Macaca mulatta: one gene and its partners. The protein of the gene in region 2 interacts with the protein of the main gene of each other region in a pairwise test. Links are inferred from orthologs where the notes say so. Each region holds a gene or a part of one and is shown on either strand. Other genes may lie near its edges. The genes, in order: ATF3, ATF2 and KIFC3.

Evidence for each region.
Region 1: the proteins of ATF2 (region 2) and ATF3 interact in binary tests that used the Homo sapiens proteins (3 or more experiments, as listed by UniProt). The link is inferred for Macaca mulatta from reciprocal best matches to the Homo sapiens genes ATF2 and ATF3.
Region 3: the proteins of ATF2 (region 2) and KIFC3 interact in binary tests that used the Homo sapiens proteins (3 or more experiments, as listed by UniProt). The two-hybrid records come from large-scale screens. The link is inferred for Macaca mulatta from reciprocal best matches to the Homo sapiens genes ATF2 and KIFC3.

The regions. Positions count from the first base shown.
Region 1 is NC_133406.1:70,336,808-70,346,643, reverse strand, and holds the start of ATF3 (cyclic AMP-dependent transcription factor ATF-3), read right to left. Parts: upstream 5,370-9,836; 5' UTR 5,297-5,369; intron 391-5,296; exon of another isoform or gene 266-390; intron 1-265.
Region 2 is NC_133417.1:80,091,800-80,101,524, reverse strand, and holds the start of ATF2 (cyclic AMP-dependent transcription factor ATF-2), read left to right. Parts: upstream 1-3,482; 5' UTR 3,483-3,636; intron 3,637-3,976; exon of another isoform or gene 3,977-4,052; intron 4,053-9,725. UniProt on the Homo sapiens protein: Transcriptional activator which regulates the transcription of various genes, including those involved in anti-apoptosis, cell growth, and DNA damage response.
Region 3 is NC_133425.1:53,366,850-53,376,316, reverse strand, and holds the end of KIFC3 (kinesin-like protein KIFC3), read left to right. Parts: intron 1-1,168; coding exon 1,169-1,273; intron 1,274-2,912; exon of another isoform or gene 2,913-3,124; coding exon 3,125-3,255; exon of another isoform or gene 3,256-3,432; intron 3,433-3,578; exon of another isoform or gene 3,579-3,691; intron 3,692-3,825; exon of another isoform or gene 3,826-3,833; coding exon 3,834-3,957; exon of another isoform or gene 3,958-3,995; intron 3,996-4,202; coding exon 4,203-4,332; exon of another isoform or gene 4,333-4,418; coding exon 4,419-4,648; intron 4,649-4,988; coding exon 4,989-5,123; intron 5,124-5,399; exon of another isoform or gene 5,400-5,592; coding exon 5,593-5,961; 3' UTR 5,962-6,048; downstream 6,049-9,467. Other genes in the region: KATNB1 (katanin p80 WD40 repeat-containing subunit B1), read right to left, coding at 8,450-8,582, 8,924-9,040, 9,332-9,406. UniProt on the Homo sapiens protein: Minus-end microtubule-dependent motor protein. Involved in apically targeted transport. Required for zonula adherens maintenance.

The DNA of each region.
Region 1 (9,836 bases), on a different chromosome or scaffold from region 2:
CTTAGGCTGGGTGTGGGGACAGAGAACCCGGGGGCTGGCTCTGGCACTAAAGAGCAGTGACTTGAGCCAGTCACTTCAGCTCTCTAGGACCCAGTCTGTGTCTGGTAAATGACTGAGAGCTCCTCCAATGCCAGCACTGAGTCTACACCATTGCTTTACCCAGAGCCTGGCCCAGCACCTGACTCGCCATGCCTCACTGGCCAACTGAATAAATGAAGTGGGGATGGGGCCATCAAATCAAATGCCCCCCATAGTCCAAGATTACCTTTCTCATTCCCATTGCTTGGGCCCAACTTCCGGGGTAGAAGCTTCAGCGATGTAGTTGCTAAATTCATCTCTCTCTATTATTCTATAGCTCAGTGAACCCAAAAGGATGACAAAAGGAAAAAAAAGAGTAGAAATAGTGACAGTTACACGGACCCAATTTGGAAGAGTCCCCCATAAGTCTTGGGTACTCCCTCCAGCAGTGGCCATTCCCCCTCCTCCCTGCAGTTGGTTTCCAAGGGGCAATGAGTATAGGGATGAGTGTAGGATGAGTGTGGTCTGGGCATTCCTCTCACCAGGGATCTGTGGTCATTAGCACAGTCCAGACAGCGAAGAAGCCCTCTGGCAAGTCTCAAACATTTAAGGAGTGCCTCCTTCATACCAGAAACCTTAGGGGCACTATCTCGTTTAATCCTCATGAGAACCCAGTGAGTTAGGATTTAGCCCCCTTTTATAGATGAGATAACTGAGGTTTAGACAAACTAAGTCATTTGTCCAAAGTCACAGAATTAATATGGGGCAGCATCAGGATTTGGAATTAAGTTAGTTTGGCTCCAGGATTCATGCCCTTAATTTGTACATTGCAAAAAATGAACAAATATTATTACACATTACAAAAACAAACCAGTATTATGTTATATTGCACAAACAAAACAAAAAACCAGAGCAAATTTTTGGGGGACAGGCCTTAAGGTAGGTGGGAGGCCTGGAAATGAAGTGATGGAGGCGAGGCTAAGTAGAGATTCCTGGGGATAACTTGAACTCTGTTTAATGAACTGCTAATCTTTATGTCAGGGTGCACACCCAGGCTGCTTGCTACCTGCCCTCTGGGAGTGTGAGCAAGTAGGTCTCTTATCCACAAAATTCTCATACTGGGGTCAGAAGATGAAAATCTGAAGCCCACTTACTCCATCATGTGTTATCATTGTACCTCCCAGTGGCTTCTTCTCCTCTGTTAAAGAGGGCTTGTAACAATCACCCTATTTTCCCATAATATCCTATGAGGAATTGAGGAACTAATACATGAACATGCCCTGGAAAACATTCCTTTGGCCAGGAGCTCCATGATTACTAAGCCTCCCAGAGATCTCTCCAGCCCAGGGCTGGCTCTCTGACAGAGGCTCTGTGGGGTCCAGGAGGGAGGGCGGCTGGTCACCCTCTTTGATCTCAAAGGCTTCTGAATAGAATACCCTGGACTTCAACTCCCCCTAGAGATCTAACATACACCAATGGAGGCAAGACTTCCAGGCCAATGAAAGCTGCCCTTGACTAGTCAAAGAAACCCAGGCTATGTATGTAATTCTTTTCCCAAAGAATGAGTCAGAACTGAAGTTCTTCTCTCAGTTTAATCCTATAATCTTAGGATGCTGGGAGGATACTTGTCACTGTCAGGCAATAAACTCTGAGAAACTAGACTTCTAAAGCCAGAGGCTTAAGATTCTCCCATGCATTCATGTTTCCCTGCCCTTTCCAACTTTATTAAAAACCCAGTGATTCAGGGATGACATTCAGAGCTACCACTGGGCTAGTCTTTGTTCGGAGGCCTGGATGGCTCCCTTCTACATGGTACTTTGAATTTCACTGCAGTAGAGCGTAGTTCCATTTTGCCACCCAACTAGGTTTATTAATGAGATCTCAGGGCTTGGGGTCTGCTGTTTGTGACTCCCATCCCGACCCTTCTTCTTATGTAAAGTCAGCAGTCCCAATGAAAGAAGCTGAAGAACGTCAGTGGTATGGAATGCTTTTATGGAAAGCATTGGGTGGGCTTACTTGGGGACAGAAATGGTTGTAAAAATGTTAGAAGTCTTTCAGAAAGTAAAACAGATGTATCTGTAGATATCTGGGTTTTCTTGGCACTAGGCTAAAGCTTAACTTCTTGGGATACTTTCTAGTTATTCTTTTACTCAGTCTCTTGAGTTATGATTCAGCCTAGACTCAGGCTGTGTCCCCACAAGGAAATGAAGTTAAATCATCAGACAATTTTTCAGAAAGTTGAGATCCTCAAACATCCTGATCATTGAAAAAAATTGTTTGGGGACCTCAGATCAGAGTTTCTATGCTGATCATAAAATTGTTCAGACTTGCTACCAAGAACTTGCATTTTGTTTCTGCTTGATTATTTCCAATCAGAAATCATGTTGTATCATTGGTAGTTACATCATTTTCAAGAAAGTGAAACTACTCATGTATTCCTTTAACTGGAAATTCAGCTCCCAGATTTTTATTTCCTAGTAGCTACAGCTACATTGAATTTTCACTTTTAATTTTCATCCTCTTTCCACTAAGCATTGCTCGCTAACCATCTTATGTTACTAGGAAGCCAATACTGGCCTTTCACTAACTCTTCATATCTTGGTCTTCCTCCCAGACCTCTTGAAGATTGTAGGTGCAAAGCTGGGCATCAAGGGCCAGAGACAATGTTTCTGAACCTATCAGCGCCAATCACAAACTAAGCACTCACCAACAAATCACTTAGGCTTTCTGGGCCTCTCATTCTCTTCCTCTGTAATTTGAGATCAAAACTGCCTGCCCCAAAGGGCTGTTAAGAAGGATATATGAGATTTACATATACACTGGGTAGTCATTATTACTGTGACTCCATCTTCTCCATTTCAGGAAAAACTCATTCTGTTGTTATCAATTCAACAAAGCCCTGTTAGTGAGGAATTAACTAAAACCTTCAAGAAATTCAGGTCATTCAGAGCCTCTTTTGTACTCTGATTGACCCCAAGTTCTTCGCAGACCAGGTAGATGTCACCCCACTATTTGCTGACACCAGCATTTCTCCATTACATATTTGAAAGAAAACCAATTCTCACTTAAAAACCATTTCTCCCTTGGAAAGCTTCTGTGGCATCTTGACTATGTCCTTCCTCCTCCCCTGGCTGGGTAACACTTGAAGCCACTGGCCTTGTCCCATGCCCAGCCAATTTTAAAAAGAAAGGAATCATGGACTCTATCTAATGGAAATCACACCCTCTCAATATTAGAATCATCTAGGTCAGATTTTCATTTTGTAATGAGTACACTGGTCCAGGGAGGTAAAAATGACTTGCCTGAGGTCATAAAGCTGGTGAGTGGCCCATCCCATGCCAAGCTGCTGACCACCCACCAACTGCTCATTTTGCTCCATCACCAATAGGTATCACCACCTCAAGGGATCAACCAACAAGGCAACCAGAGAACAGAGCCATTAGCCAGGTAGATAAGGGGTCAAGAGTCCTGGCACTTGGTACCAACCACAGAGGAGACTTTGACAGGACTGAGATAGGGAGGGGCTATCGAAGAAAAGAGCCATGGAGAGAAAGGAATTCTATAATGGCTAAAGGGCAAGGAGGAAGAGAGAGAGAAAGAAGGCTCCCAGCACTGCCACAGATGCTGGGTGCTGTATCTTAGCCCCACTGCGGGCGTGGGGTGCTGCCTTCTTTGCTGTCTCTGAAACAATTCTGACAGTAACTGCAATCCTCACCACATCCCATCTTTGACCAGGATATCCTCAAAGCAGGAGCCTGTATGTTGTAGCATTATTCTACAACCAATGCTAACTGCAAAACAACGGGGACAGTAATACCAATTTTTTGCCTTCACTTTAAATTGTGGAGACAGAAACTTCGAACAGAAGATGTGACTGTCACCTACAACGAAAGGGGTACATTGAGAGAACATCCAGATTTTCTGGCTCTCCTTTTTTTTTTTTTTTTTTCTGGCTTCATCAAGGATTTAGTAACTATTTTATTTGTAAGAAAGCATATGTGACCTCTGCAATGAAATTAGGTAAAAGAAAATGTTTAGGAGGAAAGGAAGTAGATGAGAGACAAAAATGGGGATAGGAGGAGCACAGAAGGAGAAGGAATCCAGTGGAAAGAAAACTGGTGAGGGAAAAGATGCCCTGCAGAAAAGTCCCCTTTCCCCCACTGTCTGGACACCGGTCAATGACATTAGATAGAGACCCACAGCATTCAAGTCCCCTCACTGGCTCCTTTTCTTCCCACTACACCACCCTAGAATCTGAAAATCTCCAGACAGAAAGGACCTTAGCAGTTATCTGGTCCAACCACTGCATTGTGCCCTCCAACACGCAGAGGGGGCCGGTACTGCCCATGTGCCCCTATTTCCCGGCTCGGCATACTGAGGCTCAACGACATCGATTGCAGTGTAAGCGCTCAGAGTCCTGGCACTAGACCACAAAGCCATTCTCTCAAATATCTGCACAACTGGCTCCACACCCTCGCTTCCCCGCCACGGTGGGTCTCCCGCGGACCGGCCGAAGGAAAAGCCAGAGTGAGAGTCCCAGGTGTGTGGGAGTCCCGGGCTCGGGTTCCAGACACCAACCGGTGCCGGGAGCCCTTCCCGTCGTCCGCCCCGGGACAGCGCGACACCAGCGCTCTCCACTTCCAAACTTATCCCAGCTAACTTTTTCTCGGGGTTGCCTTCACGGTCCTGCCGCCAGCGCTCCGGGGTGCCCAGGGCGACCCCCAGCGGCCGCGCACGCGACGCCGCCCGCCCTCCTGCCCCTTCCCCATTCATTCCTCTCCGCGCGTGGGGCAGCCCTCCCGCAAGCCTCCCGCCTTCGTGCCTCTCTGCCAACCCCGGGAAGGATCGGCTCCCTCAGTGCCGTGTCTCGAAGCGAGGGATGCAGCGGGACGGCGAGCTGGGCAGCCTCGGACACCCCAGCGCACCCGCCCACCCACCTCACGCCCTCTCCCAGCCCCGCAAGCCAGCGCCGTCTGCGGAGAGAAGCGGCGCTCCAGGCTGGCGGCAGAGTGGACGCCAGACCTCCGTCACCAGGAACCTTTCGCGCCCCAAGTCAAAAGAGAAAGTTAGTTCTTTCGCTTTGCGGGAAACTTTTCAAAGCGCCGAGGAGCAGCGGTGGCTTAGAAGAAGTTAAAGCCAGAGTTATTTCCAAGCCGGAGACTGGGGGCGCGGATCTGGGGTGGGTCAGGGGTCGGCGGACTGGTTACTTAGAGGGGCGCGAAGGGAATGAAGGCAAGCCGCCCTCGTCGCGCTCACTCCCTTGGCTTCCAGCGCTCACCTCCAGGCTCCGCTCGGGGCGGCCAGGGTCCGGAGGACGGGCAGGGTCGGGACCGGGTCGGGCGGGCTGTTTGTCTGGCCGGCGGGCGAGCACCAAGGACTCACGGCCGGCGCGCGGGCTGAAGGGTGCGCTCGGGCGGCGGCGAGAGAAGAGAGCTGTGCAGTGCGCGCCTGGCTGCGTGCGACTGTGGCTTGGAGAGCGTTGCATCACCCCTTTTATAGCCCTCAGGCGGGCGGCGCGGTCGTTTACTCCGTGTTGCCAGTCCCGGGCTGACGTAATGCTATTAATAGCTTCCCGGGAGAACCGGCCGAACGGAGCGGAGGAAGGGGGTGGGGGAGGGGCCAAGGCGGGGCGGAAGGCGGGTGGAGATGGGGGGGCACTGGTGATGCAAGTTCGGGGAGGAGCCAGCCGAGGCGCGTTCCCCCAGCCTCGCTTACTGAGACACACACCAGCCCGCCCTCTCTCTCCATATCAGGACCGGAGTCGCCTGGGATAGCCGCCAGATGTGCGTACTCGCTGCTGCGTGTTCCAGGCATGACCAATGGTGCCCAAGCCAGCGGCATGACTCCACCGCGCTGGCATCTCTCCCTCCGCTAGGTTGAGGAGCGGGGGGGCGGGGAAGGTGGGGAGGCGGGTCCCGGCCCCAGCCCAGACTAGGTGAGGCTGGGAAGCGGGCACGACCTTTCTCTAAAATGCGTGGTCATTTTCTGGAGCTTCAGGAAAATACCCCCTCCCCCACTGGCCTCCTACTTCTCTAGCAGGGACAGAATAGGGGCAGAAGCGTTAGTCTGTGATGTGGGGAAGGTGTCCAAAGTCACTCTTCGGTGTATCCACGCCATTACCCGCCGGGTGTGACCTCCGCGGCGGGGACCGCGAGAAGCCCGCCCGTTAACACAAAAGCGGAGGGCAGCCCTCTGCTGGCACCGTGCGCCGGAGCCCACGGCCCCGGACCCTCCACATAGACGCACACGCAGGACAGCTCCGGGCTCCGAGACTAGGGCGAGTGGTAGGACCGTATCGGTTCGATTTTTCTTCTTTTTTTTCAATCACAAAGCGTTTGAAATTGACAAGAACGTCTCAGTGAAACCAACAAGAGCGTGAAAAGATCGGAGTCCCGGAGGAATCAGAGGCAGCCCGGTGGGAGCGTAGGAGGGGGCGGAAGCCAGTGGCCAGGACTAGGGGGAAAGAGAAGGTGCTTTGGGGTCCGCGAACCTGCCCAGGCCTGGGGGTCGCCCCGCTCTCAGGCGATATTTAGGGAAAACCCATCTTCAGCTTTCACGGGTTCTTCTGCTCCCAGAGCCTACTGGACTGGGACCAGACGGCCCGGAATGGGGACGCACTGACCACAGGCGGAACCCGCAGCAGAAATCCCCTCTGCCCTCAAGCCAGGGTGGCGGGAAAGGCGGGGCCCCGTAGCCGAGATTCGAGCTGAGACCTCAGCAGAACTGGGTTTAAACCTTAAAAACGATTTCCTGATTCTTATTCCCCGACCACAACAGTTTCTCCTCAGAGAGTGGCAGAACCAGTAACCTTCTTGACTGCCTGTGGATGACTATTTGTGGACATAAGTGTGGCCCGGGACTTTCGCACCTGCCTGGGAGGGAGACTTGCGCGGCCGCAGGCTGTGGGAGCACGGCAAAGGGCAGAAACACCTCCTTTCTACCTGCCTCTGGGAGAGAGGCGGCCGAAGGTCATAGTTTGGTAATTTGGGGTAGAAATTAGAGGTGTCTGGAGCCCGGGTCTCACTTGAAGTCCCCAGTTCCCCCCACCGGGGTTCCTCGCCGCCTAGCCCGACCTCACTCAGAGCACCCCTCTCCCCATGGACCTGGGAACACGCGGAGGGCGGCCTCGGAAGTCTTTGCGCCCGGGCGGGCCCCGAAGCCCTGGGGTTCCACGCGGGATCCTCAGAGATCTGGCTCTGCACCTGACCCGATTTCCAGCGGCGTCGCGCGGGAAGTGCAGGGCGGGTGTTTTCGCTTTACTTTTCGCCCTGGTAACGGCTCTCCCGGCCCCACCCTCCGCTCCCACGCCCTCACCCCCGCGCGCCGCGCAGCACACCTCCACAACCCGCCCTCCCGCTGGAGTGCGCGCAGGTAAACCCCGGGCGTGTCGGAGCAACCCCGAGAACACCGGGCGGGATTAGATGGAGAAGCGTTTGTGCATTTGAATGAAGTTATTTGGTATCTCTACTTCGCTATTTTATCTACTTATAGATTGTCCTGGAATAAATAGCACCATTATAAAATGAAGCAAGGAGAGGAGGGAGAACACGTGAAGCTTTTTACTCTTTTTCTGCTGTGAAACAGAAATCTTTCACCAGTTTACAGCTTGAACTATGATTCCATTAATACACGCAAGCCAAATCTGTGGAGATCTGGTCCCGTCCTTAAGGGGAAATTCCAGTTAGGTCGTCAAGTAAATAAACAGCCAGACCGGCCTCCACAAAACGTCAGGGGCTCTGCCTTGGGAAGGAAAGGGTAACTGGGGTGGGGGGAGAAGCCCCTAACACCCTGGTCGGGTTATTTTTATTACCATTGTGCCTCCAGTTCCTTTTATTAATCATGCTTCATTCTAATTACTCTTAGTTTGGAATCTCCAAGTTACACCTGGATAGAAATGCTGTCCGCTGTTCACAGAAGTCTGATCCTGACATTCTCAACCCTGAAAGTGATAAGAATCTTGACAGAGAACTAAGTCCACTCCCACTTGAATGAAACTCTTATCCAAGGAAAACAAAAGCTACTCCTGCCTGCCTCCCTCCCCTCAGCCCCCAGGAGAACCGTGAAATGCCTGCTGAATTGAGAGACTGGAAAAGAACAGAGCAAGGCGGAGCCCCTGAGGTCTTTGCCACAGGAGAGTGATCAACATCTGAGTCCTTTGCATCCTCATTTTACCCTGACTTAAGTTAATGCCACCAATGTCCAGTGTGCACACTCTCAGCACACACACAGCCAGTGCCATGCAGAGGAGCGCACAGAAAAACTTTCCACACCAAAACTCCTCTCGACGCAAACCAAAGAATGGCTGTCTTGCCTTAGAAGGAAGCCCTGGCTAGGGTGATTTCAGGGGTTAATCCTCAATGAAAGACGGTTAAGCAGAGACTTGAAGATTGCTGAGGTTTTATGCTGGTGAACGGCCTGGGGAATCCACATTCGGATCAGCCTTGGTATGTTTTGCTGAGTGAGATAAGAGTTGGAGACTTCATGCTGGGACATGTGCAAAAGGAAGGGAAAAAATAAAAAAGGGGAGGGGAAGGAACTAGGTAATTGAAAACAGCCCACTCGTGGCAACCAAATCTAAACAGAAAAACATTGCAGGGAGCCAACGCGAAAAAAAAAAAAAAAAAAAAAAAGTTCGAGATATTTAATGGTTCTAGCAGTTTCTTAGTTCAGTGCACAATCCCTTCCCACATTCCTCTGCCCCATTACTCTGTTCTGTAAACCCTAAGACTGTATTTGCACCCAGAATGCTAGAAACACAAGGTAAGATCCACCAGAGGAGCGGCAGAGTACTACCAGCCCTGTCTGCCTAGCTCAACCTACTTCTTCGCTTTGAAACGGGAGTGGAGTCGATTTTCTTATACTTTATTCTGTTTCTGAAGCCCACTCTTTCTACAAAGTCAGTTTGAATGTGGTGACTGCTAGTTTAATAGCGTCCAAAATGGGCATTGTCAGGAAACAGGTGCAGCATCACACAGTAGGCACCAAAGTGTGGAAGGCACTTGGATTCTGGATTCAGCACTTAGATGCTGTGTCACCTTAAGTAAGTCATTTCTTCAAATGAAAAATGGCACTAACAATAGTGCCTAATGCATAAAATTGTTATGACATTTCTCTGAGGATGTGGCACCCGGTCAGCCCTCAATAGTGGTATCATTAGTTAATTATGAATCAAGAAAAGCTTTCTGAGGTGCCCCTGAATCTCTCCAGGAACTCATTGAGTACCCCTTGTCAGTGGCAAATAGTGGATGAAGTCGAGCGATCTCCAGGAATGACAATCATAAGGGGGTGGGAATGAGAGCCCAGGCAGACACCGATGAGAACGGTCCTCATTCCCCATCACAGCAACTCCACCACACACCTGGGGCTCTCCTCAATGCTGGGTGGCCCTGCCAAGTATCCTGGGCTAGGAGGAGGGGATTTGGGTTCAGGGTCTGGTTCTGTCTTTGATATGCTTGAGCAAGGCACTCCCCCTTTCTAAGGCTCCCAACTTTTCTGAAGTGAGGAGCCTTGGACTGAGCTCTGATGGTCCTGAATGGGGACCCTCTGCCAAAGCCACCCTATGGGCCTCTGGCAACTTTCCCTAAGAGAGATGGGGAGAGAGAAGACATCATAGGTAAGGCACTGAATACCACAGGGGCAGACCCATTTATGCAACCTTTCTTCCCCTCCAAAAACTAGAGTTAAGAAATGCTGTCCAACTTAAACACAGCCTTTCTCCCACCTCCAATACTTCCAAGAGTTTTCATCCCCATGGACTAGGTGCCTTGTGAGAGAGGGGCGTGGCAGAACACCCCAGGCATGCATTACATCTCTGGGGA
Region 2 (9,725 bases):
GGAGCTTGCAGTGAGCTGAGATCGCGCCACTGCACTCCAGCCTGGGCGACAGAGCGAGACTCCGTCTCAAAAAAAAAAAAAAAAAGAGCAGAATATAATGATGGCAATCCCTCTTTCTGGTGAGTCAGATGAGAGAGGTGGCATTAGCATCAAGAAAAAAAACAAGGCCCTTAAATTCCATTCTCCCTCTCTCTGGACTGGTTTTGTTGAAGCTAGTATAAACCAACTGGTATGATGTGAAGATAAACGACTTTTTTCCCCATAATTCCACACCCCAATAATTATAAATTATTTTGGGAAACCCAAGATTTGGGTTGGAGGGTAGACATCCCTGCACTTAGAATTTCCATGATGAGGACAAGTGCTGAGAGGTAACTTTAATATAGGCCGTTTCAGCAATGTGCAGGAAGACCCTGAACTGGCAGAGGAAAAGATCTGCCATGAGATAGAAGCTACCAAAATGTCTGTACAATGTCTGGGCCCACATTATCCTATTTCATCTCAGGTATCAGTGGGGTAATCATGTCCTGTGTCCCCCACCCCTTTCACATCACACACACACACCCCCCCACCTTGATTCCACTGATAAAATCCCAGCTAATCCACTGTACTAGGCTGTATCCTGAGAATATCATGAAAATGTACAGGCTCTTTCCCTAAGCCTAGGATTAGTTGTACCAAGCAGACATAAGGGGTGCCCTGTAGTCTTCTATGTTTTGGTTAGCTGCAGACAAACAGAAACTGTGTTCTGTAAATTATTAGCGAGAGAGAGAAGGAGGGGAAGCTGAAAGGGAAGATGGAGAGAGAGATGGTTTGGCTGGGTCCCCACCCCAAATCTCATCTTGAATTGTAGTTCCCATAATCCCCACGTCATGGGAGGGACCAGGTGGAGACAATTGAATCATGGGGGTGGTTTCCCCATCCTATTCTCATGATAGTGAGTTAGTTCTCAGAGATCTGATGGTTTTATAAGGTACTTCTCCGTTTGCTGGGTACTCATTCTTTTTGCTGCCGCCATGTGAAGGATATGTTTGCTTCCCCTTCCGCCATGATTGTGAGTTTCCTGAAGCCTCCCCAGCCATGCTGAACTGTGAATCAATTAAACCTCCTTCCTTTATAAATTACCCAGTTTCGGGTATATCTTTATTTGCAGCATGAGAACATATATATATATATACACACACACACACACGTTTTAGAATTTTCGTGAGCAGTTTTAACAGATTATGGATCAACAGCCCTATCATACTAAGGTGGAAATACCACATTTATGTGGCATTTGGAAGATTTTGAGGGTGTTTAGAGACCATCATTGATTCTTATGATATTTAGTTATTAACACTTCCATAACAGAAATGCATTTTCTTCAAATAGCCTCATTTTGTATCTAAGGAATATTAGTTTTATTTAGCAGTCATGCTGGGTTCTTAAAGGGGATTCACTAGACTCTCACTAATTCTCTTAGAACTAAGTTTTGGGTAGGTGCATTATGGAACAAGACAGGTAAAGAAGAGGTCTACAGTAAGTTTCCTGCATTTGTAAAGAGAAGACTAAAGAATTTTAGGACCCTTGGGGATACTGAGGAATGCAGAAGTGAGAACAAAAATGGAAAATGATGGCATTTTATGAGGATATGAATAAGTAGTGAGACAAGTTCACAGAATCAGACCTGAATATGGTAACTACATTCATTTTGACAATGCTGAATGTCTTCCCCACTTGTAGAAAAACTATAGTAAACAAACTGCTGTGGAACTAGAAATATGTGGATAAAGTGAGACCCTTGTTAAACGCCAGGCTGCCAAAATGCATATATAATAGACTGGCATAGTTTCCACCTGTTTCCCGCCCCCTATCTTGTTTATTTTTTTTTTTTCACTTTAGGTATACCTTCTCTTTAGAAAATTAGCTGAAACTGAATTATCAAAACAGATCAGAGTACTGTTCATATCACTAGTTCTTCTCTTGTCTAAAAAGAACTGAAAGACTTTCTTCAAAATGTGTTCCTCGAATGCATCATGTAGATAATTTAACTGCTTGACAACAGACCAGAGAAGTAGAAATGAGAAATTTAAAACCAAAGCTACTGCCCAATTGAATACTGAAAAAAATAATTTCAAATTTTAATACACATGAATGGAAAAATAATTTTTTAAAAAATCTATTCTAATTGACCCAAACTTCTTTTGAAATGTCGTAACATTTCTAATTCTTTTTCTCACATTAGTTGTTTTGGGAGATGGAGAGAGAAGCATCATTTTAATCAATGTTTTCTAGACCTAACAACTGTGATGTCAATCAAACATTTTGTCCACCATTTCCATCATGAGTAATCTGAACTGTGAGGTTTTGCTGACATAGTTAGTGTTACACTACAATGACACTACTACAACATTACTGTTACTATATGGGGACAACACTTTCATTTTAAGTAGGAAAGTGTTAATAATTTGGCTTAATGTTTTTTAACTAAAATTAGTTTTAAAAGAGGACTGAGTTGGCTTATATACATGTATGCAGTCCAGAGACCTACCTGTGAAAATGTCAATGCCATTACAATTTCACTTTATGCCAGATATCATTCTTGAACTTCAGGCTCATTATCTCTTATAATATCCCCTAAAACCTTTCAACAACTTTGAGAGTGTATTTTATGTTAATATATAAACTAGTTCATAATTTTGTTACAGACTAGAAATCAGTATTTAATAAATGGAAAAATAAAAGACTGAAAATCTTTTATTGAGTAAATTTTCAGAGGCCTCTGATCATACTTTTCAACTTGTGCCTATTTATTGAATAACCAACATCCCTACAGTTAATATTAAAATCTTTAAGTTGTGTGAGGTTTATTGGAGGGTAGGGATGGGGAATTACCAGCAAACTCTGCCTCCCGCAAACCTCACCTAACCCGAAGCTCCCCGTCTCAGACTCCCGGGGAGCCAGGGGTAGGCTGAGGAACGCAGCCTACCTTTACCCACCTCCCTACCTAGTGCTGGGAAGCGACGGCAACGGAGACACCCGGCTCCTGGGGCTGGGCTCGGAGGACCCATCCTGCTTCCCCCTACCAGCCTTTCTGGAGCTCACCATCCTCGCTTCACACCGCCAACACCCTGCCTACCCCTCCTCCGCCGCCTGCACCCGCCCCCTCCTCCAGCCGACAGCCAATCACAGCCTTCCACAGCCTTGGGTTTACAGAGGTAACGCTCCTTGGGCCCTCTGGTCCCGCCCCCTCCAGAACTGCTTCCCGCCCTTCGGGCTCCTTGCCCAATCACGAGCGCCCGAGTGCTCTTTGGTGCCCGTCCCCTCTACCCGCCCTGCCGAAGACCCGCCTTCTTCTCCTTAAGCCTGACGGAATCACCTGACTCGGAGGCTCTCCCTCAGAAGGAAGGCAAGACGGGGCGTGAGCATGGAGGGGAGGGGCGCGAGAAGGAAGGGGGGGATGCCGGGAGCGGGGCGGGTCGGGGGGGGGGAGGAGGGTTGTCAGTCCGATCTCGCGAGAGAGGACGGAAGCCTGTGGGAGCCCGTGGCCTTTAAAGTGCCGTTCAGCCTTTTCGTCCAGGGGTGGTTTGTAAACACGGCTGTGCTCGGGGCTCACGAGTGACCGAAAGGATCATGAACTAGTGACCTGGAAAGGTGAGTAATGATGGGCAGAGGTCAGCAGGGCTGGAGACTGTAGGGATACGGAGAAAGAAGGTGCTAACATGGCGACGTCGCTCAGCACAGTCCCCACCCCCCGTTTCCCATCACCTCGGGTGCTCCTGACGTGCTTCTTAGCCCTTGGGGCGATTGTGGCTGTGATGCCACCTTAGCGGCCCGCGCGGTGTGGGCTTTGGGAGACTGACTGGCTGGGCCGGACCGTTAGGTAACCAGCGTTCGTTGTTCCGGCCCCTCCCTCTCGCGCGCTTTCCTAAGGCAGAGGAAAAAGGAATAACGGCTCCTCTTAGACCCCTCCCTCCGATTTATCTTCCCCCTGCTTGGGTCAGTTCAGAGGTCCTCGGGGCGCGCGTCGAGTCAGCCGTGTGCGCAGGGAGACCTCTCCCACCCACAGTCCTTGGGTTGGGCGGGGAGAGGGCCCACTCTAGTCTCCCCACCCAGTGTTCAAGCGATTGAGGACCGTGTATTTGTGATGGTGGCGGGGAGGAGGATCGGGAGGCGCGGCTGAAAATAGAATCAGGGTCCCTGGCTGCGGTGCAGCCTGAAGGAAAGAATGGTGTGGAGAACCTGGGAGCTGCAAGTCTCGGCCTTTTCCGTCCTTTCCGCCACCCTCACAGTCCCGCTACCCCCCACTTTTTCCCGGTGGGGCGGGGCTTAGGTGTGGGTGCAGAGTGATTCTGGTATTTTCCCCTATTTTTTTTTAATCTCTTTGGGTGGACAGCAGACCTTATGTAAAGAAATAATTTGCTTTTCATCATGCCCTAGGAACCAGGGCCGAAAGGGAGTGTGTGTACGTGTTTTCCATGTTCGCTCGTTTAACCGAACCTAGGAGGAAAAAGAGAGGAGGAGCTGGGGACTATTTTTGTGCCCCTAGGTAGTATAAAATTGGCTTTCCTTAATGGAGAGTCTTAAAACTGGTGAGGCCAAGAGCAAAACTACTGTGAATATCATGTAGTAAAAGAGATTATTCCTGATGGACCTCAGGCATCAGAAATTTTACTGAAAGAAATGTTTCTCTTAAAATTCAACACCTATTTTAAGTAGTGATGTAAAGCATTTCTTTACATGTACCTTCAGGTTTTCTAATGCTTTCCTGGCTATTATTTAACTGGTACTAAGGGATTGACTAATCCCTGAATTATAATGTGAAAGTTTAAATTTCTTAGAGGTTTTAAATTATGGAGACGTCACAATGCATGCATTTACGATATACATTTAAAATCAGAACAAAAACTGACTTCCTTTGAGCACACTTTTTGTCCTATTTGAAGAAACATGACCACTGGCGTTATCATTGTCAGTAACAGCCGTTCTAATCTTTATATAGCCATATAGCTTTGGTCTCATGAATCAAAATTATGAAGGTAAAGCTTTATAAAAGCTTTTTAAAAAGTAACACCTACAGGTTTAAGTGCCCTGAAGTGCAAACACAGAAACAGTTTTATCATGTATTCATTTTTTTTCTTACTCGAGGAATCCACCGTAAAAACTTTGTTTCAAAATGATAGGAACATCCTTGTAAAATACGTTTTAAAAATAGATATCCTCTGAAGATTAAGAAAGTTCATGGATCTTTAAGGCCGTCAGTAGTTGCGTAATAGTTAAGAATCCTCGTCTTTGTAAAATAATTTCTAGGAATCTTCCAGATTTACCGTGATGTGTAAAAGAATTTCTGAGAATCTTCCAAATTTGCCGTGATGTGTATGTTGCCTTTCCAAGACGTTTAATCTTGCTTTGAGAGAATGCTACTGCCATTAAGTTTTAAGAAATGATTTAAAATGTAATATCGTGGAAATTTAGAACTTAGATGTTATGTATTTTAATTGTCAGTAAGGAAGGAGCTTTCAGGGACCTTTTGTGTGTGTGTGTAGGGTATATAATACCTTCTGTAGCTCCGGGTGCATTTCCTGAAAATCCTTTTTAAAATACCTTATCCGAATGTTTATTTCGTATTTGGGGCACTATATTATTATTAGTTAAATATGTAACCCAGGAATTCCTGCACTTTTTTCTTTGGCGTTGTTTTTTATTTTTAAGCTTAGATAATAGAGGCTGGGCGCGCGCGGTGGCTCATTCCTGTAATCCCAGCACTTTGGGAGGCCGAGGCGGGGGGATCACGAGGTGAGGAGACCTTCCTAGCTAACACTGTGAAACCCCGTCTCTACTAAAAGTGCATAAAACTAGCCGGGCGTGGTGGCGCCTGTAGTCCCAGCTACTCAGGAGGCTGAGGCGGGAGAATCCCTTGAACCCGGGAGGCGGAGGTTGCAGTGAGCCGAGATCACTCCACTGCACTCCAGCCTGGGTGACAGCGAGATTCCGTCTCAAATAAATAAATAGTAGAAATGGTTGTCAGCATTTTAACAAATAATGGGGGTGGAGGTACTCTTTATTGGTATTCAGGATCTGAAAGCTCTGTGAGTATGGTTGAAAAATATTCCATACATCAAACATCTATCTATAGGTAGCGTTAACTCTTCAAAGAATAATGTACATTTTTTCTACCCAACTTTTTGTATTTTGGAAAACTTGGGTTTTAATGATACATACATTCTTGTCTGGTAAATTGTTAGATCATGTTAGATCAGGTAAACAGTCTCACCAATGTGTGCTGTTTCTACTTATTTTGTCTTCAAGCTCTTCCTTCCAATATGAAATATGTCTATAGGTAGGCATTTCTTTATCGTTTTTATTCTTACTAAAATGTCGTTGGAGAAGATAAAGTAGTTGAAGTCTCCCTTATTAAAACCAGATTTTCACCAGAACCTCTTGTTTAAAATTCAGTGAATAACAATAATTAATATTCAACTGATTTTTATAAAAGTCAATGCCTATAGCACTTGTTGGGTTATTTTGTATAATTAAAATGTACCCTAAAAAAATCCCACCTTAGGCAGTATGTGGTGGCTTATGCCTGTAATCCCAGCACTTTGGGAAGCTGAGGTAGGCAGATCAACTGAGGTCAGGAGTTCAAGACCAGCCTAGCCAACACGGTGAAACCACGTTGGTGGGTGCCTCCAATCCCAGCTACTGGGGAGGCTGAGGCACGAGAATCTCTTGAACCCAGGAGCAGGAGGTTGCAGTGAGCCGAGATCGTGCCACTGCATTCTAGCCTGGGCAACAGAGTGCAACTGCATCTCAAAACAAAACAAAAACAAAAAACTCACTTGGTATTGTTGTAATCTGGACTTTAGTATTTGTGTTTATCTTATACTCACACCAATTCCTCAAGGCTAAGAACTTGTCTAAAATGCTGCATGTTCTCTTTATGTAAGTTTTAATGTTGAAGTAGTAGGATAGTAATCACCTGTTTATGTTTGAAGGAAAACCCCACGGAACATTTTATTTCCTTTGTTATGTTTCTCAAGGTTAAAAGGTTATATAGTAAGGTGTAAGATCGTTTCATAAAAAATCAAGGAAATTTGTGGATCTTTAAGGCCATCAGTAAGTGTATTTTATTTTATTTTATTTTTGAGACAGAGTCTCCCCTCTGTCTCCCACACTGGAGTGCAGTGGTGCAATCTTGGCTCACTGCAATCTCCACCTCCCAGATTCAAGAAGTTCTCCTGTCTGAGCCTCCAGAATAGCTAGGGGTGCTATTCCTAGGGGTACACCACCATGCCCTGCTAATTTTTGTATTTTTAGTAGAGATGGGGTTTCACCATGTTGGCCAGGCTGATCTTGAATTCCTGGCCTCTGGTGATCCACCCACCTTGGCCTCTCAAAGTGTTGGGATTACAGGCGTGAGCCACCACACCAGGCCTGTTTTTACACACTATTTTTATCTTATAAATATATTTAATGTTACATATTATAAAATTATAAATAAATATGTATTCCTTATATATGTCTTTTCAATTTGTTGAGACTTTTTGACAACCTTGCTGACAACCTTGAAACTGGTGTATTCATTTTCACTTTTGAGGGATTACAGGCATGAGCCACTGCATCTGGCCTATTTTTATACATTATTTTATGCTACAGGTGTATTTAATGTTACATATTATATGATTATAAATATGTATTCATTATATATATGTTTTCAATTATTGTTGGCAACCTTGAAACTAGTGTATTCATTTTCACTTTTTTTTTTTTTTTTTGAGATGGAGTCGCTATGTCACCTAGGCTGGAGTGCAGTGCTGCTCTCAGCTCATTGTAACCTCCGCCTCCTGGGTTCAAGTGATTCTCCTGCCTCTGCCTCCTGAGTAGCTGGGATTACAGGTGCCCGCCACCACGCCTGGCTAATTTTGTATTTTTAGTAGAAATGGGGTTTCACCATGTTGGCGAGGTTGGTCTCGAACCCGCCTCGGCCTCCCAAAGTATTGGAATTACTACAGGCATGAGCCACCACACCCATCTTCATTTTCACTTTGAAGTATGTTTATTGATGGTTTTTTTCCTTGGCATTTTGACATTGACAGTAAAGAAGAGATGTAAATAAAATGTTTTGGGGGCTTTGCCTGTTCACCCATATTTGCATTCTGTATCTTAACAAAGATAGTGGTTCTCAGCCACTTTTTTGCCTTTCTACCCAAGGAATAGAAAATACTTCCAACAGTAGTAGTGGCTTATTACCGTAGAGATTCTCAACAAGATTGGTAGGGAAAGACAGGGAGAAAGAATTGTAATTGGCAAAATAACCATATGGACTTTGGTTACTTTTGTAATATATAGTATTTTTATCTATAATATTGACCACAAATTTATAAATATATTCCCTAAATATTCTTTAGTTTGCTAGCAGAACTGAAACCTTTGTCATTCCAATTTTTTAGCTTTGTTCCAATTTTATAGCTTTGGTTTTTCTAATTTTACTGTTTGGACTAGTATGTTTGCTTTTATTTATTAAACGTGTGTCGGAACAATTTTTTTTATGTATCAACTTGTTTTGCGATACTAACATAATTGTGTTCATTATTTTTGTTTTCTTCTAGTTTGTGCATATATATTACAGTTTTTACAGAATTATATCAAATAAGTTTTTATTTTACTTTTATTTTTATTTTACTTTTATAGCATTATATTTTTCCATGTTGTATAACCTTTATGATATTTGTTACTTGATAGTTGAAAAATAAGTATTAAATTTGTACTAAATGTCTGACAGGAAAATAATAATAGTTTTCAGTTTATGCCTATTTTGACATTGAATTGAACATCTCTGTGCATTTATCTTTTTCTTTTATGAATTGTTTCTGTAGGATACTAATCTCAAATGAATTACTAGTCAAAAGATACAAATGTTTCTGCAGTTGCCAAATTTTTGCCTCCCCAAAGACTTGAGCAAGTTTACACTGTCAGCAGAGCATGAATGTGTTTGCTTTGCCATAATTTTGTGAACTTTGGAGTTATGATTAATAAAGTATGATTACCTAATTGGGAATTATTGCTGGGAATAAGTTGTATTATTTAGCAGTTTTAAAATTATTTAGTAGGCCATATCGTACTATAGTTATTTATCTACCAGTGATCTATGTGATGCGACAAATATTGTGTATTTCATATTTTCTGACATTTTACTCTTTGTTTCTCTTAAAGTTTATCAAAACTTTTGACAGCCTAGTAACAATAATTCTTAGTTTTCATGCAGTTTTATGTGGTTTGTACATTGAATATTTTAATGCTAGTTTATAAGAGTTAATTTCTGGGCTGGGCGTGGTGGCTCACGCCTATAATCCCAGCATTTTGGGAGGCCGAGGTGGGTGGATAACCTGAGGTCAGGAGTTCAAGACCAGCCTGGCAAATATGAGAAAACCCCATCTCTACTAAAAATACAAAAATTAGGTGGGAGTGATGGCGGGTGCCTGTAATCTCAGCTACTCGGGAGACTGAGGCAGGAGAATTGCTTGAACCTGGGAGGCAGAGGTTGCAGTGAGCCAAGATCGCGCCAGTGCACTCTAGCCTGGGCAACAGAGGGAGACTCTGTCTCAAAAAACAAAAAAAAGAAAGAGTTACTTTCTGAGCTATACATTTCATAGGAGTTCTGTCTTATGAATGTGTCATTATGATTAAGATTTATAATGACAAATTCATTACCATATAGGAAACACTTGGAATAAAAGTATATA
Region 3 (9,467 bases), on a different chromosome or scaffold from region 2:
CGGACTCACAGGGAGGGAGAGGGGCTGGGCAGGAAGAAGCCTAAGAGTGGGGGGTACAGGAATCAGAAGTGGGAAGCCAGGGTCCCGCACCTTCCTCTGGAGGACAGAAGAGGGTGGGAAGTTAAGACTGAAGGCCTTAGAAGCCTCCTTTGGAAGGAGAGATCCAGAAACAGCCCATCCCCTCCCATGGCTGTGGTTCCTTCCATCCCCAAGGCCCCTTCTACCATGTGGCCCCGCCCACCCTTAAGGCCCATCCCACTATCATAACCCATTCCATTCTCTCAGCTATGGCTCCTCCCACCATGTGGCCCCTCCTATATCCAGTCCCTTCCACCACATGGCCCCACCCACAGCCTCTCCCACCACCATGGCTTTGGGTCCTCCCATCCACGTGGCTCCTTCTACTGCATGGCCCTGCCCACTCTCAAGGCCCCTCCTTCCATCACAGCCCATCCCACCCTCATGCTGTGGCCCCTCCATCTGCATGGCCCCACCCACACTCAGGCCCCTCCCACCCTCCCACCATGTGGCCTCACCCACCTTCAGGCCCCTCCCACTATCACAGCCCCTCCCACCCTCATGGCTGTGACTGCCCACCCACATGGCCCCATCTGTCTTCATGACCCTGCCCATCTTCTCCATCTGGGAGTACCCTCCTGTATCAGTCCCCTGGGCCTTCCTAGGAATCCCCCGACCCCCTGAGGCTGTATGAGAACCATGTGTTCTCAGTGTCCACTCTTCCCTTGTCTCTGCCCAGACCAACCTGCTAGCCGGACCAAGGCCTGTGCCCTCTTGTTCTCATGTCTGGTTCTGTCTTTGCCCCCATCCGCTGATGGCTGGCAGGCAGGCCCAGGCCAGAGAGTCCCCAGGCATGTGCTGGCCTCTGCCTTCCTTGTGCTGAGCGCTCTTTGAGAGAGAGCAGGAGGAGCTGGGGGAAGGGCAGCAGGCACCGGCCTGTCTTCCCTGCAGTCTTTGGGCGGCCCAGTTGCCCACTGATGTCTAACATATGACTCACGAATCACGAATCATTGTGAGCTGAGTGACTGCAGTAACACGTGCTGTGGTGTTGCTAAAGGACAGCATGGTTGGGGAGGTGGCTGGACTTGTAGCTGGTGGTCCCAGTGGCCCTGGAAGCCCCCCACCAGCCTCCCTGCCACCATCTTCCCAGGTGTTCCAGGAGGTGCAGGCCCTGATCACCTCTTGCATCGATGGCTTCAATGTCTGCATCTTTGCGTACGGCCAGACGGGTGCCGGCAAGACATACACGATGGAGGTGGGTGCTGCCCCACGGGGTGGGGGTTCACAGTGAGGTATGAAGGGAATGCGGGCTCCTTCATTGGTCTTGGAGTTTTGTGCAGTGTGTGTTTTGCCTCATTTGGTCCTCACAACCCAGGAGCAGAGGCTGTAGTTATCTGTGTTAGCCCCAAGGCACCAGGCCTTAAGAGGGGGCCCCCTTGCCCAACGGTACCCACAATGGGCCCAGCAGGACTGGGGAAGAGGCAAGGGGGGTCTGTCATCACAGGGATCTTGGCCTGGGGACAGAGTCCAGGGCAGGCCACCCACCTCTCTCAGGACCGGGGCTGCGTTTCACCTTGACTGTGCACTGCACGCCCCTGCTTTATGGCTGCCTTGGCCGGGCCTGGGGGATCTGGGATGAGTGGTTGGTCTCAGTCCTCAAGGAGATCCCAGGGCAAGACTGGCATGCGAAGGCTGTGGTGGGGAGCCCAGCTCTTGCTGGTGGCCCCTGGGGCCAGGCCAAGGCTTCCTCTCCCTGCCCGTCACCGGCGCCCTCCCAGGTGTGGTGGAGCAGGTGGCTGGCCAGGGAGGGGGGCGTTGAGATGAGGAAGGATCTTGACTGTGGGCAGAGGGCAGTGGAAAGCTAGCCCTGACTCTTGAGGGGTGCTGTGGGATTCCCTAGGTCAGAAGGAGGCCAGGTGGTACGGCATCTGGGCAGGGGAAAGGGCTGGCCCGGCCTGCTGGGCAGGGAGCCTGTCATGGCGGCCCTCTATTTCCCATCTGGACTCTGCTGTTCCCTCAATTCTGGAACTAGTGAGACTAGTTAGTGGGGGCAGGCCAGGCCAGGTGGGAGGAGGAAGGGGGTGTGTGCAGCATCCCCTGGGCTCCCTGTTCTGCTTTGGGATTGCTTAGAGTTGAGTTGACCACCAGAAACATCAGCGTTCGTCCTCAAGCGTATCTGCTGATGCCTGAGGCATATCGGGCATTGTGCCAGGTACAGCTTTGACCCAAACAGTCCCTGCCTCCACAGGGGGCCCTCCCCACAGTGCCAACCTGGCTGTGGGGAGGCAACACAGTCCACATAAATCAGCAAGTGTCCTGTCAGGCCAGGGAGAAAAATAAAGCCAGGGATGTGGAACTGACTAGGGGGAGGGACAGGGCGTTTGGGGGTGCTGGGCGAAGGAGCAGCCTCCCTGAGGGAGATGACAGAGCCGACCACGGGGAGGTCAGAGGAGCACCCAGGGCAGAGGGAGCTGCAGGGCCAAGGCCAAGAGGCCAGAGCATGCCAGGGGCACCTGAGGCCCGACCAGGAGGCCCCTGCGGCAGGAATAGAGAGAGGGTGAGAGATACTGTCAGAAGAAGGGCGAGGGCCAGGCTCCCAGGGCCTCGAGGGCCCAGGTAGGGACTCCAGGTTTCCTTCTAGAAAGGCCGGCCCACCCCTCCTGCCCCAGGACACTGGTCCACTCCTCCCTGTGCCTCCTCTCCACCACCCACAGAGCCCAGGCCTCAGCCTCCCTGAGATTGAGCCCCTTTCTGGGCAGTGGTGGGGTCATTCATTTCCAGCACCCCTCCCAGGTGGCCCCGCAGGGCCAGGCATGCATCTGGCCGTCAGCTGGCCTATGTGGGGTCTGGGCCAGGCCCCTCACCCCAGTGCCGGACAATGAGTCTCAGGGTAGTCCTGGCAGGGCGATACCATTTTAATGGTGGGGAAATAGAGGTGCAGTTGCCTGCAGCTGGTGGAGGGCATTTTGGGGGACAGTGGCAGGTAGGTAGGTTTGGGCAAGGAGGCTTGCCTGTGAGGAGTAACCAAGGGGCTTGGGGGACAGACGCCACACGAGCATCTTTGGGGACAGGCCTGGCTCACTGGGGCCTTTCCTTCTGCCCCCAGGGGACCCCTGAGAACCCAGGTATCAACCAGCGGGCCCTGCAGCTGCTCTTCTCCGAGGTGCAGGAGAAGGCGTCTGACTGGGAGTATACCATCACCGTCAGCGCCGCGGAGATCTACAACGAGGTCCTCAGGTGGGAGCCCCAGGGTATGCAGAGCAGGCCTCAGGGGCAGCTTTGGGGTCCTCCGGGGTGGTGCTGGAATGAGGTCCTCAGGTGGGAGCCCCAGCATGTGGGGAGCAGGCCTCAGGGGCAGTTTTGGGGTCCTCTGGAGTGGTGCTGGAGCAATGGGGGATAGGAAGTGGGGTCTTCCTGAAGGGAGTACAGGGAACAGATGAGGCCATCAAGGGACCTGGCTGCAAGTCCTGACTCAGCCCATCGGTTTGGGTGGTCCTGTGGGGAGGAGGGGCTCTCTCTCAGCCTGCCCTAGCCCAGACCCAGGCAATCCTTGCCCCTACCTGTGGGCTGCACCAGGTGGCTGTGGGTGAGAGTGGGCAGCTGGGGGCCCTGCCCACAGGGCTCATTGCATTGTGGAGTGAGATCTCTGCGTCAGCTGAATGCGGTGGAGGAGCTGGAGGAGGAGAGATGCGCTCAGCTGATGGCTGAAGAAGGCTTCCTGGGTTGGGGGAACATTCCTGGCTGGGGGGCTGGGTGCAGTGCAAACAGCAGCCAGAAATGGGAGGAGGGCGTGACTGTCTCACCTACCCCTCCAGGGACCTGCTAGGGAAAGAGCCTCAGGAAAAACTGGAGATCCGGCTATGCCCAGATGGCAGTGGGCAGCTGTATGTACCAGGGCTGACTGAGTTCCAGGTGCAGAGCGTGGACGACATCAACAAGGTGTGGAGGAGGGAGCCCCTGACCACAGCCACGCTGCTCTAGAGGACAGAACTGGGTTTGAATGTAGGCTCTGCTGTGTCCTAAGCACGCACCCTTGGGCAAGTCCCCACGCCTCTCTGAGCCTCAGTTCCCTCATCTAAACTGCAGAGGGTGGTGCCAACTCCTCACGGGTGCTTGGGGCCAGGTGACTCTGAGGACCCCATTCTCAACGCTGTGCCTCTGCCCTCCCGCTCCCAATCCCCCAGGTGTTTGAGTTCGGCCACACCAATCGCACGACGGAGTTCACCAACCTCAACGAGCACAGCTCCCGCTCGCATGCGCTGCTCATCGTGACGGTGCGAGGCATGGACTGCAGCACGGGCCTCCGCACCACGGGTGAGAGTGGCGGGCAGCCTGGCCTGAGGATCCCCACAACCACAAGGGGCATGGCAGGCCTGATCTGCTGGGTGCCCTCCCTGCAGGGAAGCTGAACCTGGTGGACTTGGCTGGCTCCGAGCGCGTGGGCAAGTCGGGGGCTGAGGGCAGCCGCCTGCGGGAGGCACAGCACATCAACAAGTCGCTGTCAGCTCTGGGGGACGTCATTGCTGCCCTGCGCTCCCGCCAGGGCCACGTGCCCTTCCGCAACTCCAAGCTCACCTACCTGCTGCAGGATTCACTTAGTGGTGACAGCAAGACCCTCATGGTGGTACAGGTGAGTGCCTTGGGTTAGGGCGGGCCAGTCCCTAGAGTGGAGGGGCTGCGCTAGCAGCGAGACCCGGTCACCCCAGGCTGTGCAAAGGAACCCTTGTCTCAGCAGCTCCATAGTCAGCAACAGCCCCCAGCCCCAGACCTGGCCACACACACCCTGTGTGACTCCCAGTCCCTCCTCTCCACCTTTGACCACGCTACCTCTGCCACCTTGCCTGCCCTCTCACCCCATCTTTCAGTCCTCTCCAGGAAGCCTTCTGACATCCCCAGCTGTGAGCTCCCTCTGTTGGCCCTGCTGTCCCTCCAGCTGGCCTGGTTGGGCAGTGAGCTCTTGTGTCCCGTAGGTGTCCCCCGTGGAGAAGAACACTAGCGAGACGCTCTATTCTCTCAAGTTTGCTGAGCGGGTGCGCTCTGTGGAGCTGGGGCCTGGGCTACGCAGGGCAGAGCTTGGGTCCTGGTCGAGCCAGGAACATCTAGAGGTACGGGGACTGTCACAGGCCTGGCTCAGGTGGCCCTGGGTCAGAGACTTTGGGTCATGGCAGGAGTGGGGAACTGGGCGGGGACGTCCTGAAGCAGTGGGGGCGGGGAAGCTGCCGGAGGTGGGTGGAGCTACAGCTGGAACCCACAGCCAGGAGCCTCTTCAGTACAGGTAATTCTTCTTGGCCTCAGAGGTTCCTGTGGGGTGACCAGCTGGCCGTGGGGGTGGCACACAGTAGGTACTAGTTGTACCTAGCACACAGTGGTAACTAGTTGACTTCTTTATATGTATTATCTCGTTTAATTCTTACCATAACTGAGGCTGGGGCACGAGCATCATGCCCATTTTGCAGATGAGGAAACTGGGTGTTAGGAGGTTAGGAGGCAGGGCAGGGGAGTAGAGAGCAGCACAGCAGGGTGGGGAGCCAGGGCAGCCGTGGCCCACGCCCACCCGCCCTTCCCTGCTGACAGTGGGAGCCGGCTTGTCAGACGCCACAGCCCTCAGCACGGGCCCACTCAGCCCCCAGCTCTGGGACCAGTAGCCGCCCTGGATCCATCCGGAGGAAGCTGCAGCCCTCGGGTGAGCCTGGGGTGGAAGTGTGGGTGGGGGAGTCTCCCCAGGATAATAGTCACCAGGCTGCCCTTACCTGGATTGGCTTTCTATTTTCTTTCCTTTTTAAAAAGTTCTTACAACTTCTTCAGAACCTGTTTTACAACCTCCCCTGCCCCCAGGCAGTCGTCAGGGCAGACAGTGCTGTGTTCAGTCTGCAGGTGGGAAATGAAAGGTCCGTGGGGAGGGGTAGTGTAAGGAGACCCCAGCCTCCCAGCTTGGGGTGCTGACTTTACCCTGGGACCCTGCTCTCTGAGGGTGGGCTGGCTGGGCCTGTGCAGTAAGCCCCCTCCAGAGCAGTCCCTGCATCCCCCTCCCTGCACCTCAGCTGCCCTGGGGATAGAAAGGGCAGGGCTTGCCTACGTCCTAGGTGAGGAGTGAGCCCCACCACAGGACTGGGATCCAGGACTCCAGCCCCTGTTTAGCCCAGATCATGGGAAGGCCTGGCCTGTCCTTGAGTCCAAAGGGGTAGCAGCAGCAGGGTCCTGTGGGGTACTGGCCTGAGGCAGGCCCACCAGTGAGACGCCTGTCACTTTGATTTCAGCCTGACGGCTGGGGCTGCAGCCTCTAGGTGAGTGTGGGGCCAGTGGCCCAGGGCTACCCGCCTGCCCGCCGCCATGGGTTGCAGGGCTGCGCTGGGACGTTCTGCTGCTCAGGGCTGGGTCTGGCCTCCGCTGGTGTTGTCTGTCTGCTTCTGCTGGGTTCCCTCCTGCTCTTGGTGGCACCTGTTGTGGGCTGCCGGTGGGCGAGTGGACAAGAGGCTGATGATCCCGGTGCCCCTGCAGGGAAGTCGCGGCCACTGCCTGTGTGACGGATGTGACCCCGCTGGGCCTGGAGCTGGGCCCCGAGGCCTCACCGGCCTGTTCCTGCTGCAGCGCCAGGACCCCCGGAGGTGGAGGCAAGAGTGAAGGCTCCTCTTCTGCCCCGTCTCCCCTCAGAGATGAGAAACATGTTCAGAAGGAAACGGTGTCTCTCGGCTGTGGCTCTGGGTGCAAATTGCATGGGCGGAAAAGCGGGGGTGGCTGCTCTTCCTGGCGGGCCTGGGCTGTCAGTGAGCTGGGCCCCGTGAGGAGGGCAGGAGAGTGGAGGAGGGCGGGCCTCTCACCCAGGCTGCCCCAGCTCCTCTCCTCAGCTTGCAGGACTGGCCAGCCCCCTCCTTCGTGGGTGGGCAAGGAGCCTCCTGGCAGGCTCAAGAACCATTCGGACTGGGGTGGGTTGGTGGCACCAAGGGCAGCCCTCCCCGCCCCTCTCCTTCAAGGAGGGGTCCCGCAGCTGGGGTGTGTACAGAGGCGCACGGCCTCCTGCCACGGGGCCGCGCCATATTTATGGCTGACAGAGGCAGCCAGTGGGTGGGGGATTCTGCTGCTCCCTCACCTGCCTGGCTCACTGGTCTCTTGAATTTTCTTCCCTCTGAAATCTATTTAAGAACTTTTGGAAGCTTAGCCATTTTTACTTATTAAAATAAAAGCCTTTTTACACAAGTATGGTCTGAAAACTTTGGCCTGTGAGCCCCTCTTGGTCTGCTAAGGGGGATGGGGCACTGGCAGGTCCTGTGGACTCCCGGGGTGACAGCCCTCCAGGAGCTGTCCTCTAGGTCAGTTAGGGACATGCATCCTTAACAACTGGGGGGAGCCCGCGCTGTCCCACCCTGGGTCACTTTCTCTGTTGTTTGTGGTCACAGTCACCTCATGCAGTGCCTACCGTGTGCCCACAATAACTGACCGACCTCCCTCCATGTTACTGATGGGAAGGAAACTAAGGCTGGAGAGAGCTTCGAAAGCTCATTAAAGCCTTGCCCAAACCATGCTGGCCTTCCGGGTTACTGCTGGGCACCACCCACTGCCCACCCTTTGCCCTGGCCTTTTCCCTCTTCAGTGAACTGGCCAGAGGTCCGCGCCACCTTCCTCCAGTGCCGAGGACCCTGACCACCCCGGGACAGGGCTGTACCTGGTCCCTGCCTTGGGAGCAGGAGGGGGCCCACCTGTCGCAGTGACCACAGAGCAGTGGGCCCTTTCCCGCCAGCCAGTGCTGGGGGCTCCAGCAGGGAATGACAGCTGATCAGAGCCCTGCTCAGAAGAAGGGGCAGGTGCCTTCCAGTCCTGCCCCTGGAGGCATCCTGGGGGTGTCCATAAGACAACTTGTGTGTGGCTGAGGTGGGGAGGACCGGCTGGTGGGGCCCACCCCTACCTAACCTCAACACCCAGTGGTGGAAGGGTGGTTGCCGCCTCCCTTTCCTTCCCAGTCTGAACTGATGTCCCACAGGCCTGACTCTCTGCTGCCCCCTGCTGGCCACACGGCCCAGAGCCCCACCCCAGGGCTTGGAGGGGGTGTGGCCTCATCTCAGAAACGACGGGGCAGGCACTCCTGGGACGTGGGGAGCCCTGTGACCAGCAGAAAACATTCCCCGCAAGGAAACCTGGGAATAGTTACAAATTTAATAAAATTTGCCTTATAAATTACAGCAGCAGCCCCAGGGCTCAGTTCGCTGCCCCAAGAAGCAACAGTTGGGCAAAGCTGGGCAGCTATTGCTGGAGAGAGTTGTCTGAGAGTTCAGGGCTGTAGAGGTGGCCAGGGACCAGCGTTACCTCCTCCAGGACGGCCACAGGACAGCGGCAGGGGCCAGGCAGAGGCTCATGGGCCACTAGGCACAAAAGGAACAGGAGTGGGGGCTGAGGCCAGGCCCTGAGGGCAGCCAAGCGCCCCTGCCCACTGCGTTCCTCAGTCCAGACTGGCCATGAGCAGGTGCAGCTCGCGGAAGGTACTGCCGTGGCGGCCGCTCAGGCCCGACTTGCTCTTGACCAGGCCGCTGATGCTCTTGAGCTGCTTGTAGCAGAGCCGGCACTTGTGCAGCCTGTAGAGAGGGCAGTGCCTGAGGGGCCAGCTGGCACCACCACCACCCCAACCCCAGGGCCTTTGCTGTCCTAACTGCTCCAGCCCCTCCTCCCAAGGGAAGGTGGAGGCCCAGAGGGGAACTACCCAGGCCCTGCCAGGGATTGTGGGCACAGCCAGGCCATGGAGGAACCCAGCTCTGGCTAAGCCCACCCACGCCCTGAGCCATGGCCCCAGACCAACACACCCTCTGTACTCTGTCCCAACAGGACTGTCAGTAAGAGGGGCCAGGGCCTCCAGGCCTTTGTCCCCTCACCTGTTGTGGCACCCCTGCCCCCAACACACGTGCCGCCTGGCCCTCACCTCTCCTCCCTACTGATATCCACACCCACGGAGGGCGGGGCTGCCAGCATGTCCGTGATGAGGGGCAGAAACCGCTGCAGGATCAGCTTCAGGGAGGTGCAGCCCGTCTGGACGTAGCTTCAGGGGGAGATGGATGAAGTCACAAATGGACTCAGGGCCACAGACAGAAAGAGAAACAGCGAGGAACAGAGGAGAGGGGCAGACACAGACACACACACACACACACACACACACACACACACACACGCCTGTTTCCACTCCCACCTCTGGACCGTTGAGGGGCAGCAATGCTTCACAGCCAGCTCACAGGAACACCCAGGCTCTTGGGGGACTTCCCATGGTCCAGGAGGAGGCTTCCTACCTCTCCCCTCCCCCTGCCTGAGGCAGGCATGGCTTCCCCACACGCACCTCTCATACTTGCTCTGCAGAAGCTTCTCGATCTGTGGCAGGACCGTGGTGCACAGGTCCAGCTTCCACAGGGAGCTAGGAGAGGCCAGGACATGCTGCCGTCAGCCCAGCCCTGCCCCTCCACCCACTCCCCCTC